Linked DNA regions of Arabidopsis thaliana. The protein of the gene in region 2 purifies or fractionates together with the protein of the main gene of each other region. This does not show direct contact. Each region holds a gene or a part of one and is shown on either strand. Other genes may lie near its edges. The genes, in order: PHB4, AT5G37610, PHB3 and PHB5.

Region 1 (5,969 bases), on a different chromosome or scaffold from region 2:
ATCCTTATTCTAAGTCATCTTGCAGAGCTTGCGTTGTCTGCATAGAACGTTGCCATGAGTGTGGGAGTTGCTTAAATGACTGTGAAAACAAGCCGTTCTGTTTTGCATTCAGCTGTGTGGTATGCATTGAGAAGAGGTCTAACCGCTTATAATAGTTTATTTGAAGTCAAAACCGAAGCTTAACACATTACTTTGATCCTCAATACACTGTTTTCTGAAGAATGAAGAGTCTTGGTGCTTGAGGTATCAAACCTAAGTCAATAAGAAGAGCTGCAACAAAAAATGGAAACATGATAAGACTCAGAAGGGTGTTTAGTCTTCATCTACAGCATCATGAAAGATCTGAGCTAAACTTGATTCTGCAACGGACTCGAGTCAAACTTGATCATGAGAGATGAAGAGAAGCAAAGACTAGAGCTTTACTTGAAAGTTGAAGCACCAGGATTCAAATGGGAAATAAGTAGAACTTACAAGAAAAGAGAAGAGAATAAAGAATATATCAGAGTTATTTTACATTATCATTAATTAGTCTTTTAATCTCCTCCATATGTAGCTTTTGTTAAATGACTTGTATAATTTTCAAAATGGATCAATCTCTTATCAATCCACTCCTGCTTGTACATTCCCTGGAAACATGAGCCCATGATCACAAACTTTCATTGCAAGATCTCCCAACCATCCTCACTAGTCACTTCATCCAAACCTAGTTTACTTAATAATACCTCTCATATTCCAATACTTATTCGCAGTTTGTACATCCAGTGTATAATGCATAATATCATGTAGGTAATTATTACGTTTAAATAACATATTTTTAATAAAGAAACATATCAAAGTTATATGAAAAAAGAGAATTATGATATAAATTAATAATGAATGTTTCTTTTCATTAAACAATTTCATAGGCATTTTTTACGGATTATCTCTCATTTCTTCTTCTATTTTTAGAAATAATAATTCCTGATATATAGCAATATGACACTTAGATTTATTATTCATAAAACACTCTATTAACAAAGAAAAATAAAAACTTATAAAAGGAAAAACAAAATGTCTAAAAGTTTGATTTATAATGATAGATGCTTAATGCAACAAAAAAAAAAGGTGTTATTTGCGGTTAAACTTTTGGTTTATAAATTACAAGATATACAAATATTGAAAAAATGGAACTTCTTATACTCATTTAAAAAAAAAATTAAGGAAATTTGTCAAAATTGTAATTTAGCTGTAAAATAAATCACTACAAGGAGATAAAATCGTAAATAATATTAAATCTTCTACCAAATATATTTTCATTGAAAAAAAACAAAAATATGCATATATAATCAATACGATATAAATACTTGTAATTGATCGAATTATTGTATTAGGAAAAGCAATGAATTGGGAATTGTGTGATGATTATCCAAGCAAAGCACCGCCAGAGACGTGTAATAAGGTAGACGGTGCTAGGAGGTGCCGAACGAGTTGTAACAACGAAGGTTATGGTGGAGCAAATTGTAATTTGAAGGGAAAAGTTAAAGTTTGTGAATGCACTATACTTAGAGTTTGTCTACCCCACCACAAGAGGCCACCGCATGTACCGAAGCCACCAAAGTGACCACATAAAAAAGTTTTATTTAATTTATTTACCATGTTTTAATTTATATTTTAAATAATACAAGTACAACAACCTTGGTGTTGGAAATTGTTTTTGACAATACAAATTTCGACTATTGTTATGGTAGATTTTTTGGTGAAGCCTTTCATTGGAATGATCGGGTTTCGACAACAATGGCATAGTCTTTACTTCTAGAGTCAGAAAAGATAGAACGGCTCAAAACAATTATCTTTTTTCACATCGTGTTCATCAGAAATAAAAGAGCATCAACGTTAATAAACTTCACAGCTCCGTCGTTTTGTCTCCACTGAAGCTCCTCTTCCCACCTGCAAATACAACAAGGCCAAACAAGTAAACCACACCATTCCACAAACCTAAACCATACTCTACTATCAAACCAAACAGTTTATACCAAACCATAACCACTCTTAGTTCAACCAAACCGAATAACCTTAATGCCTTTAAATGGGAATCTTAAGTCCAAATCCATTTTTCATTCATTATTCAAAGAAGTAAAAGAGCATACCAATGTTATAGCTCAACGACCAGGGTTCAGATTAAAGAGCATGCTTTGTCCACCAGGTAAGTAAGCCACGTTCGGAGACCTAGCCAGAGTAGCCGCAACCTCCCTTGAAGCTTCAATCCTCCTAAGCTCAATTAGTCCCATTCCTGCTTTAGCTGTTGCATCTGATATCAACTGAGCAGCTTCACTCTCACCTTCTGCTCTTATAACCGCAGCTCTCCTCTCTTGATCAGCCTTCATCACCACAAACTTTGACCTTTCAGCTTCCTGCTGAGCCACTTGCTTCGCCTCCACTGCCCTCGAGAACTCAGCACCGTACGATAAGTGAGTAATGGCTATGTCGTCGAGCTCAATGTTAAATTCCCTGGCACGCTTGATAAGAGCATCACGAACAAGTGCTGATACTTGAGGACGCTCAGTGAGGAGCTGATCAGCATTGAAATTAGCAACCACAGCTTTCAAGACCTCATTTCCAATCGATGGAAGAACCTTCTCATCGTATTCAAGACCCAATGTTTGGAAAATGTACGGGAGACGCGAAACCTTCACAGTAAAATAACCACAACAACTTATTCAATCCCTCAAACAATCGAAGCCAGCATAGATATGCACCAAAAGCTTCTATAATAAGAGTAACATTCATCGAAGAAACCAAATTACACATAAGGATTATCTTCAACTCTAGATCTTGTACACAAACTTCAAATTCCACGAAATCAAACACAGAATCGATAAATGATTGCTAAATCGAACGAACACGATCATCCTAAACCCTCGATCTTGTAAACAACCAATGTATACAAAATCAAACACAGAATCGAGAAATTGATTGTTGCTAAAATCGAAATTACCTCAGGGCGAAAGAGAACACGAAGGGTGAGATTAACCATCTGAAGATCCTTAGTACCAGATTTGGAGGAGAAAGTGTGAGGTTTCGTACGAATATCGTATATGTGCGGCGTCTGGAGATACGGGATCAAGAAATGAGTCCCTTCGCCGACGGTCTGATCCAACACTCCCCTGAATCGATCGAACAAAACAGCTCTCTCGCCACCATCAACAGTGTAGAGCGACGAGTTTAGTGCCGTCGCCGCCACACCTAACCCAAACGCCGCCTTCGCCAAGTTCGTCAGAAACGAAATCGCTACTTGTTGACTTCCCATTTTCTTTTCTGACCTCACAAGAAAAAAGCTTCGAAGGAGAGAATTGAGAAAGGAAAGATTTAGGGGTTTGTTAGGGTTTATGAAATGATTTTGGAACTTGGAAGAGAGGGTTTTTTTTGGCCGACAATTATTGAATATGGGCTTGTTTAAAGCCCATTAATAATATAAACTACTTCGGCCCAATAATAAAAAAGGAAAAGGAAATGATGTAATATAAAAGGAAACAACGGTTTGGAAGATTAAACCCGAATTTGATTATTTGCCCATAAACGAAACTAAATCCGGAGAGGAAGACAGAGACGAAGAGCGTGTTGATAACAACCCTGCAGAGATTTTGGATCTTCTTAGAGAGCAAGATGAAAATGTTCTTCCTCCACCTCCTCCTTCACCTTGATTAGAGATTTTGATTAGAGTGAATAAGCACAAAAGACTAAAATTGATTTTTCTATACAACCAGTGGAAAATGTTATATACAAGAAATTCTATATAAAGACAATGAGACCTCTGACTTTGGACAGCAAAAGTAGATAAAAAGAAACATCTAAGGCTGCTTCCACAAATTGAACTAAATCGTCGATCTCTTCATCGTGTGTTTTCTTCTTCTTTGCTGCGTGTGGACTCAGATAGATCTTGCACATAGCATAATTGCCCTACTCAAACAAAACAACAGAAGTCGTCACAATAAAAACCAAAACTCAAGAGTCTCAATAACTTGGAAACCAAGTAAGTAAACGTACATATATACTCTTACCAGCTCGTAGTTATTAATATCATCAGAAGACTTAAGCCAGTGTTCATGCATCAACCAACCCTCTTTTACGCCATTTTGGTTGTTTTCCAATGTAGTACTCTAGTGAGTATTTGTAGCCGACAAGGCCTGCTTCTCCAGCATGAATCTTCTTGGCAGAGATGATACTACCCTCCAGTATCCTCCATTGTCTCTACGATTCATTCTTTTTCCACATTTCCCCATCTTGGTCCTCCCAGATATAAAGAACCATTCCGTCTTGTTACCCTTCACAAACTCCTCCGTTTCGAATCAAAAGAAAGACGCCGTTTTACATACAGAAAACACCAGAAGAGGATTAACGATATCGCCTTATATCTTTATTACTTGGATTTCAATTCTGGCTTGGACTAAGCTAAAAACAGAGACTGCTCCCACAATTCTTTGGAAATTAGTAGGAGTTGCTCATGCTACAGCTTACCATGTTTGGAAACAAATGAACAACTTGTTGCACAATAGTGTCTCCGTTTCGCCTTTGGCCACCTTCAAAGAAATCGACGGAGACATCAAAAAACACTATTACCGCTCGCATAAACAGAAAAGCTTTTCGGAATCTGATGATCTTGTAACTCCGATAAATTTTGTTGATGGACTCATTTTATATCTTTTTGGCAAGATTACATTTGTTTGGTTAAGCTATTTTTAAAACCTCAACTTTCATTAATATGATAATCACATTCCTATACTCGTAATACCCTCCCTTAAGATGAAATCTGAATTAAAATCTAAAACTTTGATGAATCGATGAAGATCAGTGGAATATATCAGTTTCTGTCAGATTGAGATCGAGAGAAAAACAAGTGGGAGCTATTTAAAATGACACTTCATTCTTTAATCACCACTCTTTGTTTACTCCTTCGGGTTTTGATGATATTGTAATTTGTAAATATGGGCGAGGTCAGCCTGGCGAGACCTACACCAAGTTAAATTCATCTTTTTAGGAGAAAAAATCCCTCCCAACATGCTTTGAACTCAACACCTCCATCTGGGAGATTTACTATTGGACCAACAGATTGTTGATGTCAAACTCATCCTTCAAGCTACATTTTGTGAGATTTCGAAAGAGTCTAACTCTAGACTTCATGGAGGAACCTCTAACATGTGAAATCTAACAGACCATTCCCCTCCAATTGGTTTGGATTCGTTCAATTATCCATCTCTTAACTAGAATCTTAAAGCATGTTTATCTTGTGGTTGTTTAAATTTTAATCTATCTTACTTCCTCTCTTATTTTGCTCAAGAAAAAATAAATGAAAAAAAGTGTTAATTAAAAAGTTGGTCTGAAATTTGTATAAACTTCTAGAGGGAATGAATTCAAGTCCTAATTTTCAACCACTAGTCTCGTGGACACTAGTCACTCGTACTTTTGTGGAATTTATTATTGTCCGAGGCAATGATCTCGATTTTTGATATTGTACAAGTCACCCCAAGTTTAGTCATCCCAAGTTTTCTATGCTTTAGACTTAGTAATGGGTTGTGACAAACATTCTTATAATTAACTTTCGTCTCAACAACCTAAGACCGACTCACAATAATAATTAAAAGTATTCTATCTTCAATAAAAATAAACCTTACGATCTGTCAATTATTTTGAATATCCAATTTGTCTCGGATTTTCAAATTTATTTTGTAAAAACCGAATACCAAACTATATTAAACGAACACCCTTATAACCAATTTGTGTCTAAATTCAATGATAGTACTGATCATATAGCTCCAAGTCCAGAGATAATGGGATATGATTAATTCAGATTTATTATTTTACGCTAAAATTAGAGAACAAATCTCATTTTATTCTTGACAGAGTCAACCAAAGTTTTTTTGTTTTTTTACTATTAAACAACTCTAATAGCATATAAAAACTTTGATTGACTATATGTTAATTATTTTGAGACT
Region 2 (4,601 bases):
ATAATATACATCATCATTACATTATCACCAACATTTAATTAAAATGTGTAACAATCAGTTGGCCCACCTTAGGAATATTTTTAGAGACACTCCGTACTATTATTATTTGATAGTTTTCTTGCACGTCGTTGATCTGCTCACCAATTAATTAATTTGTTTTTGATCTTAGCTGATTAATAAAATTATACGATATTTCTTTGATTTAAGAATATATATTTGTTTCAAGAAATATAATTTTGTCTAATAATATACATTATGTGGATATCGAATATTAGTGAGAAATAAATCAAATCATTAGCCTACATATATCATTAGTTAACTACCGCAAAACGTTTATCTAAAGCAACTTAAGTCAAATATTTCGGAAAAGTCTACTAGTTTGAATCTATAAAATTTGGTCTAGTGGGCGAAAATTCAATATAGCTTTGGTAGATTATGCTGTAGAATAATGAAAAAATACATTTCAATAAGAATTTCAAAATAATGAAATATATATGTCATTATAATGATCAAAAACATGTTATTTTGTCATAAACTTAATTTGAAACACACATGGCATATGATCTTAAATCACCCTAGCTACTGTAATCTTTCTATGCAATAATTATTATTTATTTACAAAATGATTGAATCGATCGTCTAAGAAACATGACATATGCAATGCAGAGAGTTGAAAATGAATGTACTTTTTTGTCGATATGTCACCTTATGCAAGTTGTGAATGCAATAATTGTTATCGGACAATTCTGAAGGTACAAGTATTAACACTGTCATTATTCATAGGTCCCGTGTACGTATCCAATTTAGTTTCGTCGATTCCATTTCATATTTTTTTTTAATAAAAAAATCTTAAATAAAACAGAAATAGATTATTCACCTAATCTTAAACAAAAACTTAAAACATATTTCATCATAAATTTGTAACCAGAATTACACAAAAAAAGGGTTTAAAAGTGATCACTATTCATAGTTCAACTGCTAAACCAAATCGTTGACTTGAATGGTTCAACAATCTTTCTCCAGCTATGGTGAAAAATGATTTCAAAGTCCAATGATGTTGAAAAAGAACTCTCATAGAACCACCATTGCTCACACTCAATAAAGCTTGGATCAAATCGTCATCACCAAATAAATGTCTCTTCCCAATGGAGAAAGAGTTGCTCTTGTCAGATAATATGTACTTCGCCTCAGCACCACACACTGTTTTAGAGTGCAAGCGCTGGTAGTAAGAAGCAGTGAATAAGCTTGCTTTCTTATCAATGGAAAAGGTGGTTGTTGTGTCCTCGGTGATCAAACTAAGAACTGTGTTTGCCTTAGTGATTATCCGGTTCACAAGATCCAAAGTTAACTCAAATCCAAATCGCCAAAAGTCATTTCCGAATACAGCAGAAAAACTGAGAATTGGATTTGCAAACAACCCCACAATTGTACTGATTCTGGCCCGTTCGGATAACATGTTCAACTGAGCATGGTTGTAGTCATTTCGATTGGACAGGGACACATTGCAAAGAATCAAGGAGGTAAGCAAACTCTAGATGTCATTAGAACCCAACATCAATATAAATATAATATTGCTTACTCTCTAAAGATGTCCAACTTGTGCTTACTCTCTAGGGATGTCTACTACAAAAATATAATATAAATATAAATAAAATTGGGTGCACAAAAAAATAATATAAATAAATATATAATACCACAAATATTTAGAATATATATTAATCCAATATAAATTAAAAATTAAAAATTAAATTATGTTATTACTTTGGGTTCTCTATTTTTAATTTCTGATTTATATATCCATCGTTTAAAAAGTAGTTAATTGTTTTCTGGTTTATTCTCTTAAATATTTAATAAATTACATCTTTCCCAAAGCATAGTTAACTAAAATCAAACGATTTTATTATATTTTCTAAATTAGTGAGACATAGAGAAGATATAAAAAAAAAATTATATAGAAGTTCTAAAATTTTCGTATCATTTCCGTTTTGGAGATCCTATTTACAATTTAGAAGAAAATATATTCAATTAAACTCTTAATCCACGCTACATTTTTTTTCTTTTGGTTCCTCTCTCCTTTTAGAAAGAAAATATCTGAATCATCTTAATTCTCTCTCAATCTCCGAACCCTAATTCTCTCATCTTAATCCCCTTTCAGTCTCCCTCAAAATTTAGAATGGAGACTGAGATGAGAGAATTATATCTGACTCTTAGGAACTTCGGTTTCAAAGAAAAATTCGTATCAATAATGACTTCCTGGAGAAGATAAAATTCTTGGTCACTCTCCTCTGAGCCGAAGAGTTTTTTGAATTTCTTGTTTATGATTAGAACTCTTTTGAGACGTTTAACCGGAATCTTGAATTTATATAAGAAGATAGATATATCTTGATAATTTTGTCGAATCAATCGATGTCTTTGGCTTGAACCTTCTATCGAAAGACATTATCGAAAGACATTATGACTTCTCTAAAACTATAAGCTTACAAATCCCACATGTCAGACTTTGTAGTCATCTAATTGGAGCTACGTTGAATTGATACTACAAATTTTGTTCAAATGAAAAGTTATCATATAATTGCAAAGAATATATTAGATGTGTGTTCAATAAATAATTAAATATGATTTGAAATTAACTTTTAACTGTCAAAAATAATTATATTTTTAGAAAATTAAAAAAAAAGTCAACAATTTTAGACTTCAACTCTTACGGTTGTGGGCCGAGTCAACCGATGCCCGTCATAAACGTCCTCTTACATGCTCCCAAAACAAAGTCAACTCAACTATCTAATCGGAATATATATTTGAGTTTCATTATCTTTAATAAAGTTGAATATAAACCAAAAAAACAAAAACAAAAATCTTTGGTTTTAGATAGTTTACTTGGGTTTGTATGGCTAAGAATTTAGAGTATCTCCGGTTTCTTTGGTACTCGTTTTCTTGTCAAGTAAGAACAATATTTTGTGTTGAAAAGTCATTGTGGAAAAAAACCAGAATAGATTCAAGATGATCGAAGATTCGATAGACAAAACAATGACCTTGTGATATTGATATGACACCGTGATATTTTCACAAAATTCCTCAAGGAAAGATTTATTTTGATTCTTGTTTATGATTAATGACCTTAAACCCCATAAAATGATTGGAGAGAAACCGGAGATGTGAGACAAATGGTTTCGATCTAATACTAAATTTAAGTAAGCGAATTTCGTTTAAAAATAATAATCTAAGTAAGTTGCATTAGAAAACAAATACTAATTTCAAGATGATTAGAGTGTTTAATTATGGTTCCACCTAATCACCGTTTAAAACATTATTATACTAAATCTATTGATATATTTTGCACAAATAAAATAATATATCAATTATACTTGTCCGTTTTGTTTTATATATCATTTAAGATTTTTTTTACACATATTAAAAAAAAATATATTGTTATATCATATTATGTTTGTATCAATTAAAATTAATAATTTAAAAATCAATAACACAGAAAATGTAGTATTAAGAATATTAATATTTTTCCCAAATTTTATTTTAGCATTTACAGAAAGAGATTTTTACCTTAAATAATTACATTTCTTTCTCTTTTTATTCCAATGACCTCATACAAAATTGTAACCTGGTGTGTCTATATATGTAAACTTTAATATTCCTGAAAAATATGAGATTCCATTGGGCCGCGAAAGAATCTTTATAATTTTATTCCTGATATTTAGTTGTATTTTTTGTTTCTTTCCTTGTGGAGAGCCAAAAAGTCTCCAAAGTCTTCACGTCACCCTCTTCCTCAATCTCTGCACCCACCCCTCCTCCTTCTATAAGTACTACTCTTCATATCTCTCTCTACCAAAATATCAAAACACGAGACAGATTTGATTCCATTTTTATTACTGTTACTATCATCCAAACCCTTGGTATTTGTAGCCATGAGTCTTGTTTCAGATCTCATCAACCTTAACCTCTCAGACTCCACTGACAAAATCATTGCTGAATACATATGGTTCGTCTTCTTCTTTTGTTTCTTTCATAAAAATCGTTTTTTGTTTGTGTATATGTTCTCGTATCAAACCTAAATCTAATGGGTTCGTGTTGTTTTTTCAACTTTTGACTCTGTTTTACTTTTTGGGATTGTATGGATTATAGTTTTGGTTTTGTGTCTGCCTTTGGTTGTTCTTAGTCCTCTAGAGCCAATTTGGTTTTGTTTATTCTTCAGATCTATGTTTAATTTGCTGATAAATCTATTAGGCTCCTGAATCTGCCAATACTGCAAAACTTTTTATCCCCTGATGATGTTTGCTCTGTTTTTTGGCTCTGTTCTGGCTCTGTTTTTGGCTCTGTTTTTAAACATAACGATTGAATTTTCTGAAATATTTTGTCTCTTGTTGGTGTTCTTTTAATACCAAATCAGGGTTGGTGGTTCTGGAATGGACATGAGAAGCAAAGCCAGGGTAATTTTTCATTCTCTAGATAATCTTGTGAAAAGGTCAACTTTTGTCTATCTCTATTTTTGGTAGTAATTCTGGTTTATATATGTAGACTCTACCTGGACCAGTGACTGACCCTTCGCAGCTACCAAAGTGGAACTATGATGGTTCAAGCACAGGCCA
Region 3 (6,591 bases), 1.4 Mb from region 2:
CATTGACTTATATTTTGTTATTGTTATTTAATTAGTTGGAATAATGTTTTACGACGATTTCCATATTAATTCTTGAATTAAAATACTATAGAAACTAGTTGCCCCAAAAAAGAAAAACTATAGAAACTAAGAAGATGTGTAAAATAAAATATTTATATACGGATTCATCAACATGGTTGAAAAAATTAAGGTATCATCATAAGATTAATTAGTTAAAAATTTCAAGCAAATAGGTATAGTGATGAAAAAAAAAAAGAAAAAAAAAGGTATAGTGATGAATGTTATTTGTATGATGAGTCCTTAATTCTAACTAAATTCATCATTATCCGATTCCGAACAACTCCTATATGCACAAAGAATATTTTTACTCTCGATTTATCTCGTCGTTATGCATGTGAGCATTTATGTGATGACATGTTATGGCTTATGATAATAATAACAATGATTAGAAAATGTTATTGAAATGTTTAAAAGTCAAAACTGTTTTATAGTTAGGTTTTTGTGTGTGGAATTTATTGGGATTGAAGAAAAAACGTGTAAAGTAAAACTCTGTTGGGAAAGTTATTTAATGAGTCAACTGATGAAGTTCGAATTTTTTCCAAAAAAGAGAAAAATAGACGAACAAATTAGCGTATAAATACTAATACCATATAAATAGATTAAACGCAAGATGAATCTATCTCATGTAAAACTTTATGAAAATATAGTAGACAAAAATAAAAAAAGAGATACGTTGTTCAAAGAAGCAACTCACTAAATATCCTATATATATGAATTACTGGTTTAAATAACCTAATTACAGTTTACAGGAGTTTTATATGGATGTTGTCCAATGTCGTAAGCTCATAATCTTAGACTTGTTATGTTTATTTCAATAGAAGCGTGTAGACTAAACCGCAATTGGCAACTCGAGTGTTCCGTCTGTATCTCCGCATCGAATGAGAGATACATGCTTATGTAATATAGTTCAGCGCGGGCATGTTTGTATCTGCATTTAGTGATTGTGCAAACAAAAATCAAATGATCAAAGTAGTTAATGCCTCCAGTGAAGCATCTCGGAAGCTGTACACGAGAGGAAGTTTTCTTCAAAGAAATAATCAGTTGACTCGGTTTAATTGTTACGTGTCACCTAGTGTTGTAGGTTAAGGATGAAATTTATCTCCACCAGATTGCAAATTTATTTTTATTTACTCGTCAATCTATTTCATCTTCGTTGTATATGGTCAACGAAACTATTAGATTACAATCAATTGATTTTATAATTATTACTAAGGTATGAATAATTTCAACACCACCAATTAGCTATAGTTTCGATCTGCACTTTGACACTAAATTATAATTTTTATAATTTAGTGTATCAACGTGACATCATGTATGTGATAATTAGCTTACATTATCTTATACTAGTTTGTAAACAAATACTGGCCATTGGTGGAGGAAAATTATGTGCACTAAACAACAAATGAGCATCCATTATAGCTTAGACTAAAGAATATTTGCATTATATGTAATGAGTCTCATATTTAAGTAAATGGCAATTCTAAAATTTTTTCACTAGCTAGATAAAAACACATCAATACTTTTTATTGATCTACCATTGGTGGTCAGATGATAATTCGATTCAATGTTTAGCCTAAACATATTCTTTCTGACCGATTAAAAACCAAGTGAACGTTTTGTTTTGGTCGATCTATCCCAAGATTAGTTGGACTTTGTTCCAAATTTCTTGATGAGCAAACACAAAAGTGTAAATTGTTTCTTATTATTGTTGTCATGTACCATATATATATATTTGACAAAATAACCTAGTATAGTAGTAGTAGTATATATATAATTATATATATATATATTAATATTAGTTTCAGTTTGTTTATTTTACAATTATACACTTCTCACTCTAATTGGTTATCAAAGATTCATGTTTCCTTCACTTGGGTTGTTTCTTTTACCTGTTTCGATAATATTGATGACTACATATATATCCGGTTGGAGTCAAAATGTTGAAAGAATCGAATTTAGCTCAATCTTTGAAGTTGGCGTTTAGTTTTTGAAATTAAAGATTTCTCTGCAATATTTTAATTGAAAATCAATATTGAAGGACTTTTCTGTAATATAAATCTATTTTAAAGGTTATTTTCAAACCTGTATAAGATTCGACACCGAAACATTTGACATTTTCGATAACGTGGTGAGGTCACTGTGTGACCTTCCAAGTAAAACTCCATAATTTTCTTAGTATTCGAGACGACTTAATTGAGTCATATTAATTAAGTGATACATAATATCTCTATATTTTTTTGGTCGAAGATACATAACAATTTTACGGATAAAATATTTGGAGATTTACATGCTTTCAGATTCAGTTTTAATACTCGTGTACATCTGTCTTCAAATCCCACTTAACCGAATAGAAAAGTATTCGCGTATACTGTTTGTTGGTCAAAAAATAGTCACAAAAAGTTTTCAAAAATAGATATCATTGTTTCACAACTTTTCTTTTAAGGAAAAAAAAACACTTTTTATACTGGAAAAACTCAACAACAACGTCCCCTGCCGTTATATTTGAAAAGGATTAATCATGCTCACATGTAAATATTTTTCTTATACGAAAAAGTAGTTATCCTTATTCAACTTCGTGTTTGTCAAGTAGCTCGAAGAATATTTTTGTTCACTACCGTTGGCTTGTACTAATCTAATACTTTTATAGTAGGCCCTTAACACCATACAAATGTCCAAGTAGGTATATTCTTCAATTTTTATTTGATTAAACAAATTGAGATAAACTATTGGCGTTGACCGATCTTGGTTTTCATTGCCTCGATTTTGCTGTTTTATATTTGGTTTCTTCTTGCTGGTTGGGATGCTGTTTTTGAACTGTGAGGTAGTCTTCATTTGTTATAAGAAGAGCTGCTATCTTGATGCTGTGGATTAGAATTTCCCCGTCGTTTAGCCATTTCTGCAAGCTTTTCTTTATCTTGGATTGATGGTGGGCAATGTCTCATGTGCTAGATTCTGGTTATAGTTTTTGATTTTCCATGGTTCAGTTTCTATTTTCTTATGCATTTAAAGTAATGTTTGTTAGCTTCCCATACTTTTGGGCTTTAGTCTCCGAGGATTTTTGTTATCCGTCGACTTAGTTTTTGAGATTATCTTGTTAATCGTCAGCTTTAACTTTGTAAACTCTATCTATAATCTATCTTTCAGTAAAAAAAAAATAAAAAAAATTGAGAGAAACATAATTTATGAGACAAAAAGATATTAAACATACTCTGTAACCGTTAAGCTGTTTTCAGCCCAATGTCATGAAACCCATTATTGAATTTAGTTCTTAATAGGCTTATATAGTCACATAATAATATTGGGCTAAGTTACTTGGCCCATTAAATCATTTCCCGTGGTAGGTTCCAGAAACATATCATAAACCCTAGCAGAAACTCTTTCCTCTCTCGTCGTCTCAAATCTCTTCTTCCTTCTTCTTCTCTCTCGATTCAAGATAATCCACACGCAAAAATGGGAAGCCAACAAGCGGCTGTTTCGTTCCTTTCCAATTTGGCGAAGGCTGCTTTCGGTCTTGGAACGGCGGCGACGGTGCTGAATACATCGCTTTTCACCGTTGACGGCGGAGAAAGAGCTGTTATCTTCGATCGATTCAGGGGAGTGATGGATCAGACTGTGGGTGAAGGGACTCATTTCTTGATCCCGATTCTTCAGAGGCCTCACATCTTCGATATCCGCACGAAGCCTCACACGTTCTCTTCAATCTCTGGTACTAAGGATCTCCAGATGGTTAATCTCACTCTTCGTGTTCTCTCTCGTCCTGAGGTATAACGCATAACGGTTCTTCATTTTTGATCTAGACTCGTTTGATTTCTCTGAATTGAGGTTTTTCAGATTCATTTGCGAATTGGATTTAGGGTTTAGGGTTTTGATGATCTATGATTTTCAAAATTTGTTTCGAGGACTAGGTATTGTAGAATCGTTATTAATTTGGTGTGTTTATGTGATGTGAATTGTTGTGAAGGTGTCGCGTCTCCCGTACATCTTCCAAACTTTGGGTCTAGAGTATGACGAGAAGGTTCTTCCTTCGATTGGAAATGAGGTTTTGAAAGCTGTGGTTGCACAGTTCAACGCTGACCAGCTTCTCACTGAGCGTCCTCACGTCTCAGCACTTGTTCGGGAGTCACTAATCACCCGTGCGAAGGACTTCAACATTGTGCTTGATGATGTAGCTATCACGCATTTGTCCTATGGTGTGGAGTTTTCAAGGGCTGTTGAGCAGAAACAAGTGGCTCAGCAAGAGGCAGAGAGGTCTAAGTTTGTTGTGATGAAGGCTGATCAAGAGAGGAGAGCTGCGGTTATAAGAGCTGAAGGTGAAAGTGAAGCTGCTCAGTTGATTTCTGATGCTACGGCTAAAGCTGGTATGGGACTTATCGAGCTTAGGAGGATTGAAGCTTCAAGGGAGATTGCGTCTACACTTGCTAGGTCTCCTAATGTGGCCTACTTACCCGGTGGCCAGAGCATGCTCTTTGCCCTGAACCGTTGATCTTGATCAGATATGATGGTATGTAAAAGCTTCATCTGAATCCATAGAATTAAGTCGTTTTGTGATTTGTCTGAAGGCTTTGTATTATGGTTATGTGCAGGTTGTTTGGGAGCATTTTGCGATATTTTAATGATCAAGTTGTGAATCTGATTGAATCAAAAAGGTGAAATGCTCTTTTGTTTTGATGAACTCTGAAGAAGAAAAAGAAACTAGTTGTTTGAGTTGTCATTATTGTGTTCTGAATCTCGGCAAAATTTACTCTACCTGAAGAATCTTTGTTTTCAGCATCATGTTTATCTAATTCTCAACAAATAAATGATTTTGGCTGAACTGTAAGTAATTTGTTTGTTACACATGCGTGAGAAAAGAAAATACAGATGGTACCTAGGAGTGTTGTTCTATGCGGATAAACTATGGTCACATCTGGATTATCTAGATGGTACCTATTTTGCATAAACTGTCGATAGTCTACGTCAAATTTCGATCTGTATGGACATTCAATTGTTTTTGCATAAACAGAGCAAGTTCAGAAACAAAGCAAATAAAGAAGAGAAATCATGAAAGATAGCCTTTTCTATCGAGATCCATTTTATCCATCGGTTTTAGTTTTTTTTTTTTTGGTCATCTAATGATAATGATGACTATGTAAAGACGGCGTCGGTTCCTAGACTCAACTTATGTGTCTGTGTCAACAAACTCTAGATGGAACTTAATGTGTGTTTCAACCACCTCTAGATTGAACTTATGTGTGTATATCAACAAACTCTACATTTTTTGGCAATTTTTTCTATCTCATCGTCAATTTCATTCATTTAACGAGCACAACAAAAGCTAAATTCATTTATGGTATTGGTAAGATTTTTATTTTTATTTCTACAAAGCCGCAAATACAAGACCAAAGGAAGTGTCAAAGTGAACAGCTGAAGTAGCAAGTTTCACGTACAAACACCAAACTCGAGGAGGGACTATTCAGCATAATTTATACATATACATGTAGATACATGTATTGTGTATTTATATATATGTAGGGTTTTATAGTGTAGGAGGGATCCAGATATAGCCGTGAGTCTGAAGATAACCAGCTTTCTCTAGTAGCTGATCAGCTTCTTTCGGTCCTCGGCTTCCTGGTTTGTATGGGATTGACTTTACTTCTCCTTTGTCGATCCTGTGGAGTAGCGGCGTGAAGATCTCCCACGCAACCTGTAATAATCATCAAAATGGATACAAATGTTAGCTCCTGAATTGTATGATGCAAAAGTTTGTGTCTGGATTGTGTCTATAGTTAGAGCATTTGTAATGTAACAAAAAAACGATCTCAGAGACTGCTTTGGTTTAAGGGTGGCGTTAGAAAATGTTTCTACCTTTAATTCGTCTCTACGAACGAAATGTTGTTGATCGCCTTTGATTCTGCAGAGAGATGGAAAGAAAATATGTTGAAGATAACATGAAGGAACAGAAGGCATCAATTAGATATATAAAGCCTATTGGGGTAGTATATAATTTAGAAAATTTATTTCTTACGTGTCAAGAATTAAGCGCTCGTATGCCTCAGGGATAGCGACACCTTGATACCGTTGCCCATACGACAAGTCTAGTTCACTTTGCACAGTATTCATATCTAGACCTGGTTGCTTAACCTGTGTAGCAAAAGCATAGCCAAAAGCGTTATGGTTCACTGTAGTGGTTCAAGGTCAGAGTAATTAGTAAATTATGTTTGTTTGTTCATCATATACTTACAGTTAGTTTCATGTACATTGCCTCTGAAGGTTGCAAGCGTATCACAAACTCGTTCCTTCCTTGCTTTTGACCTGTTGCAAGAGAGTTTAGACAAAGCGATACATTGTGTCTTTACATATATTTAAATTCAAAAAGCTAAAAGAAGATTCAAAACACGATGTCAGGGCAAGACAATACATCTGAATATGTCGCCTGGGACATCCTTGAATTGAATGCGAATTTCTGCCTTCCTTGAATTCAACGCTTTTCCGGCCTTTAATATAAATGGAACACCTGAAAGATATATCCAGGACCGTTAGAATGTGCATGCA
Region 4 (4,760 bases), about 10 Mb from region 2:
ATTAGCCATAGACCATTTACCTATAAATGTGGTTTATGTCTTTAGCTTTACTACAACTTCTGGTGATTGATCTACTTGGGAAAGTATTTGTACCATTTCACTTTGATTTTTACCATCACACCTCAGTGTCCTTCTTCATCATAAAAAGAGATGATATTATAAAGTTGTTTTGGTCAATATAATATATGATTAAATAGATATTTTGATACATGTGTCTATCAGTCTATCGTTTAAGCTAAAACTCAACGAGACGACAGACGATAAAAAGGGATTAAGTTTCTTCTGTGTAGATTATTCTTCTTCTTCTTCTTCTTCCATTGTCTCTTGGGTTGAGATTCCGATCTCAATGTCGATCAATATCGGAGAAATCTCAATTCCAGACCTTCCTATCTTCTTCTCCATGTTCTTAACCATCTACCTAATCGCTTACTTCATCGTCTTCCGCAATTGGAAACCACAAATCCGTCCCGAAGCTTCAAGCTGCCTGATCTCAATCTTCCATGGATCTCCAGCGGTTTTCCTCGCCACACGCGCAGTTTTCTCCTCCTCCGAACGCTCCTTCGCCTCCGCAAACACCGCCGCACAAAACACCGTCCTCGATTTCAGCGTCGCTTACTTCCTCACCGATCTCTTCCACTACATCGTCTTCAACCCTAACGACGTACTCTTCATCGGCCATCACGTAGCCACTCTATTCGTCTTCCTAACCTGCAGATTCCTCGTCTTCCACGGGGCTTGCGCCATCTTAGGCCTCCTGATTCTAGCTGAAGTAACAAGCGCGTGTCAGAACGCGTGGACGCTCGCCGGAGCAAGGAAGAATGATCCGGAATCACGATTAGCTGTGAAAGTGTACGATCTCTTGTCTCCTCCGTTTTACGCCTTCTACAGTATCGTTAGGGGTGTGTTGGGACCTTTGTTTTTCGGGAAAATGGTAGCGTTTTACGCTCGAGGTGGTGCTCATGGTGTGATACCTAATTGGTTGTGGATTTCTTGGGCAATTGTTGTTGGAATTGCTATTACTGTTAGTATACTTTGGATTTGGAATCTCTGGATAGAATTGTTTAGTGAAAGGAAAGCTAACAAAATCAGAGTAGACAAGAAAATTAGATAGTTTCTTCTTTCTTCTCTAGATCATTGTTTGATCTTCCTTTTCATGTACTATATATAATATATATACCATTATTATTCTCACCTTTTAGAATTCCTCTAAATGATGTATGTTTTGGAATAATAGATTTGCTTTTGGGTAAGCAGTATGTGCAAAATGCACTTTTAATTCAACTCTGTATTGTTCAGAAGTTCTTCTCTTAAGAGTTTCTTCCATACACATATGTCTTGTCTCTCTGCTACACTTGGTTGCTCACATCTTGATTCTTGATATTGATGAGAAACGTTTTCTTTATGAAGTGTGCCATTCTTGGTGAGTTATATTTGGCTTTATAACTCTCTTTGTTTACGGCCAACACCAAGTCCCCTGAAACCAGCAACTGGTAAGCCATATATTCTTTTACTTGGAAGAATCAAAAGTTAGCTGGGGAAGTGTAAGAAATTACGAAACACAGAGATTCATATCTTCGATCATTGGATTGTGAACTTTTCATGTGTTGAAGAGGATAGGAAGAGAATTGGGGACTAAACATACCATCCAAGCTGAGACATGGTGTTAGGCAGTCTGTTGTGGAAAGCTGAATGATATACCATTTGGCCAATGAATAGCATAAAATACACAAATTTAACCAATTTACTGAGAAGAGCATGGAATTAGAGAAAAATCTTTTAAGATCAAATAATCCCAAAGATAATAAGGAAAATGAAGGGATTGCTCAAACAAGGGGAATTATAAGGGACACATACAACAAGTCATTGTTGAATCTCATTTCAGTTCTTGGCCTTGATAGAATGGTTCTCCTTGATTCTAGCTCTGGTATCCAGCTTCACAAAACGTTTAAGATCATCAAAACTAAGAGTCTCAACGTTCTTCCTTCTAAGTTCGCTAAGCGCCGGTCGCTTATCAAGCAGATGCCATAAATAATCAGGGTGATCTGAATTAGGCAAGATCTTAGGGTCCAATCCATCTTTCAGAGTATTAGCACTAACAACCATACTCGATTTGATCTCTTTGCTCAAGTTCGATGCTTTTGGTGCATCATTACCTCCATCTCCCCTCCCAACCTTCTTCGCTTTACCAGCAGCTGTAGCAAATGTTCTTTGGCACACAAATCGCATTACATCTTTGGATCTAGAAATGGAATCCCCAAACATTCGAATAAGGTTCATATCAACAACCTTATACCTGCAAATTCACAAAATAAAACTAAATAAATCTACACAATCCTATAATGTTCGTTCTCGGATTTAGATCAAGATTCGAGTTTTGTCGAAGATTTTTGGGTGAGGGTTTAACTCGCAAGATAGAGATAGGTAGCGAGTGCATCGCGGGAACTGGTAAAACTTATTAAAAAGTAACGGACCGGAAAATTAAAAGACCCGTCTAAAAGCCCACCAATAGTAATGCATACAAGTAACACGTGGCAGGTATGGTTGACCGAGTGAGTAACAGAACGTGAGAAAACCGACCCGCTAAATAAGAACCCGCCCAATATAATAAGCTTTCTCCTTAACTTCTGCCTCACGCAAAAAAAAAAACTTCCTATAAAACCTCATCTCCTGCGTTCTCTAACTACTTCTCACCTATCTGACAAGAAAAGAAACCCTAAACAACATAAAAAGAAACCTAAAATCCATACAGGAGACATTCAAAGCCAATCATGCCTTGGTCAAAGTTCACAAAGGTAGCTCTAGGTCTAGGAGCTGCCATAGCGGCTGTGAGATCAACAATGTTCACCGTTGATGGTGGCCAGAGAGCTGTTATGTTCCACCGATTCGAAGGGATTCTAGAAGAACCAGTAGGAGAAGGGACACATCGTAAGATTCCGTGGGTGCAAAAGCCGTATATCTTCGACATTCGGACCAAACCCTACAAAATCAATACCGACTCTGGAACTAAGGATCTTCAGATGGTCAACCTCACACTTCGTGTTATGTTTCGCCCTGATGTAAGTTCCCGCGAATATCCAAAAAATTTCACTAATAAGATTTTGTGATATATATGTAAAATAATATATAACTGTTTTCCGTGGGTTCGTGTTAGGTTTCGCGCCTCTCGTATATATACCAAAACTTAGGTCTCGACTATGGTGAAAAGGTCCTACCAGCGATCGGGACGAGGTGGTTAAAGCGGTGGTGGCTCAGTTCAACGCTGACGAGCTCTTAACAGAACGTCCACAGGTCTCAGCTCTTATACGCGAAACGTTGATCAAGCGAGCTAAGGAGTTCAACATTGTTCTCGATGACGTGTCGATCACTGGTCTCTCATACGGTAAAGAGTTCTCACTTGCGGTGGAGCGGAAGCAGGTGGCACAGCAAGAAGCTGAGCGGTCCAAGTTCGTAGTGGCAAAGGCTGATCAGGAGAGACGAGCGGCTGTGATTAGAGCAGAAGGAGAGAGCGAGGCGGCTCGGGTTATATCGAAAGCGACTGCAGGGGCTGGGATGGGGTTGATCAAGCTCAGAAGGGTCGAGGCGGCTAGAGAGGTTGCGATTACGCTCTCTAATTCTCCCAATGTCGTCTATTTGCCAAGTGGTGGGAATATGTTGTTTGCAATGAACGGTCCAAGCAAAGTTGTTGCTTGAATTAGTTGCAAAAATATGGTGTTCAATGGTTATATTGATTTGTGTGTTTTAAGATTTTCATTTTTTTATATAGTTTCCTAGTATTGGATCACCCTAGTATACTCCAGTTGAGACTGTTCTTGCGAGTCTGAGACTCGCACACATGACACATGACACATCTACTGTTAAGTCGACATTGACATCAAATTAAACAATCACTGTGCCAATCAAACTTATGCATAGACCTAGAGATAATTAAGTAGTCCAAGTTCAAAGGTTGATCTAACCTGGATCAGTGCCCTTGGTAGCTATGGCACATACTTCCTCACTAGGGAAAATGGGAGCTGATTATCCAGCAGCTTTCGATTAGATATCAACAAACAAAATGCAAATTAGGTTATCTTAGAAAGAAAAAAAAACAAGCTATTCATCGGATCACAAGTCACAAGTGTCACCTCGAAAGAAACTTGGGCCCATCTATATTATCTTATGGGCCTTATCGACCGATTCAAATATTGCAAATTAGTGTCGTTAACCTTTTTTGAAAACATACGGCCATTAGTGACAATTTAATTAATATTCTACAAATTCGAGCAGTGTCTTCTACATTTCTTTGTAAAGTCTTTGGTTTTTAATTTTAAGGTCAAGTTCACCATGAGCGACCAAAGTTTTGAATTTTTCAAGGTTTTTATTTTCATTTTATCGTTGTATGGAGAAAGTTTCTTATATCTTCATTTGAACATTGAATAGAATTATTAAACATTATAATTCAAGGTAGGATGGTCAAACAATTATTCTAGATTTCCCTCTTAAATTCCCAAATTTAACATAATTTAAGCTTTTGGTAACCAAAAATCTAACATCTTACAAAATTTAATAAATGTTTTTGGCCCAAAGAAAATTTATAGTGCTGGCAAAAGAAAAATTATAATGAATGTGCTCTTAATTAAATAACCAAGATGAGTTGATTAATTATGGATTTTGTAACAAAATAAATAATTTAAGGTGCTGTCATTTTGCCCACACGTCTATGATTAAAAACATAATGAAGTGTCAATAATCTCTATGATTAATAGTTTTGGAATCTTACT

Evidence for each region.
Region 1: the proteins of AT5G37610 (region 2) and PHB4 fractionate together in Arabidopsis thaliana (co-fractionation; one large-scale study listed by BioGRID). This does not show direct contact.
Region 3: the proteins of AT5G37610 (region 2) and PHB3 fractionate together in Arabidopsis thaliana (co-fractionation; one large-scale study listed by BioGRID). This does not show direct contact.
Region 4: the proteins of AT5G37610 (region 2) and PHB5 fractionate together in Arabidopsis thaliana (co-fractionation; one large-scale study listed by BioGRID). This does not show direct contact.

Annotation. Positions count from the first base shown.
Region 1 is NC_003074.8:10,074,221-10,080,189, reverse strand, and holds PHB4 (prohibitin 4), read right to left. Parts: upstream 3,382-5,969; 5' UTR 3,287-3,381; coding exon 2,975-3,286; intron 2,667-2,974; coding exon 2,139-2,666; 3' UTR 2,127-2,138; exon of another isoform or gene 1,927-2,126; 3' UTR 1,582-1,926; downstream 1-1,581. Other genes in the region: AT3G27290 (RNI-like superfamily protein), read left to right, coding at 1-152; AT3G27270 (TRAM, LAG1 and CLN8 (TLC) lipid-sensing domain containing protein), read right to left, coding at 4,484-4,556. UniProt on the Arabidopsis thaliana protein: Prohibitin probably acts as a holdase/unfoldase for the stabilization of newly synthesized mitochondrial proteins.
Region 2 is NC_003076.8:14,934,976-14,939,576, reverse strand, and holds AT5G37610 (Eukaryotic porin family protein), read right to left. Parts: upstream 1,546-4,601; 5' UTR 1,457-1,545; coding exon 965-1,456; downstream 1-964. Other genes in the region: GSR 1 (uncharacterized protein), read left to right, coding at 3,921-3,994, 4,403-4,442, 4,531-4,601.
Region 3 is NC_003076.8:16,313,541-16,320,131, reverse strand, and holds PHB3 (prohibitin 3), read left to right. Parts: upstream 1-2,840; 5' UTR 2,841-3,510; coding exon 3,511-3,822; intron 3,823-4,021; coding exon 4,022-4,543; 3' UTR 4,544-4,561; intron 4,562-4,643; 3' UTR 4,644-5,282; downstream 5,283-6,591. Other genes in the region: G6PD6 (glucose-6-phosphate dehydrogenase 6), read right to left, coding at 5,576-5,743, 5,905-5,950, 6,065-6,180, 6,281-6,351, 6,458-6,553. UniProt on the Arabidopsis thaliana protein: Prohibitin probably acts as a holdase/unfoldase for the stabilization of newly synthesized mitochondrial proteins. Necessary for mitochondrial and cell metabolism and biogenesis.
Region 4 is NC_003076.8:4,610,334-4,615,093, forward strand, and holds PHB5 (prohibitin 5), read left to right. Parts: upstream 1-2,768; coding exon 2,769-3,056; intron 3,057-3,228; coding exon 3,229-3,690; downstream 3,691-4,760. Other genes in the region: AT5G14285 (DNA-binding storekeeper), read left to right, coding at 347-1,111; AT5G14290 (Mitochondrial ribosomal protein L37), read right to left, coding at 1,879-2,277.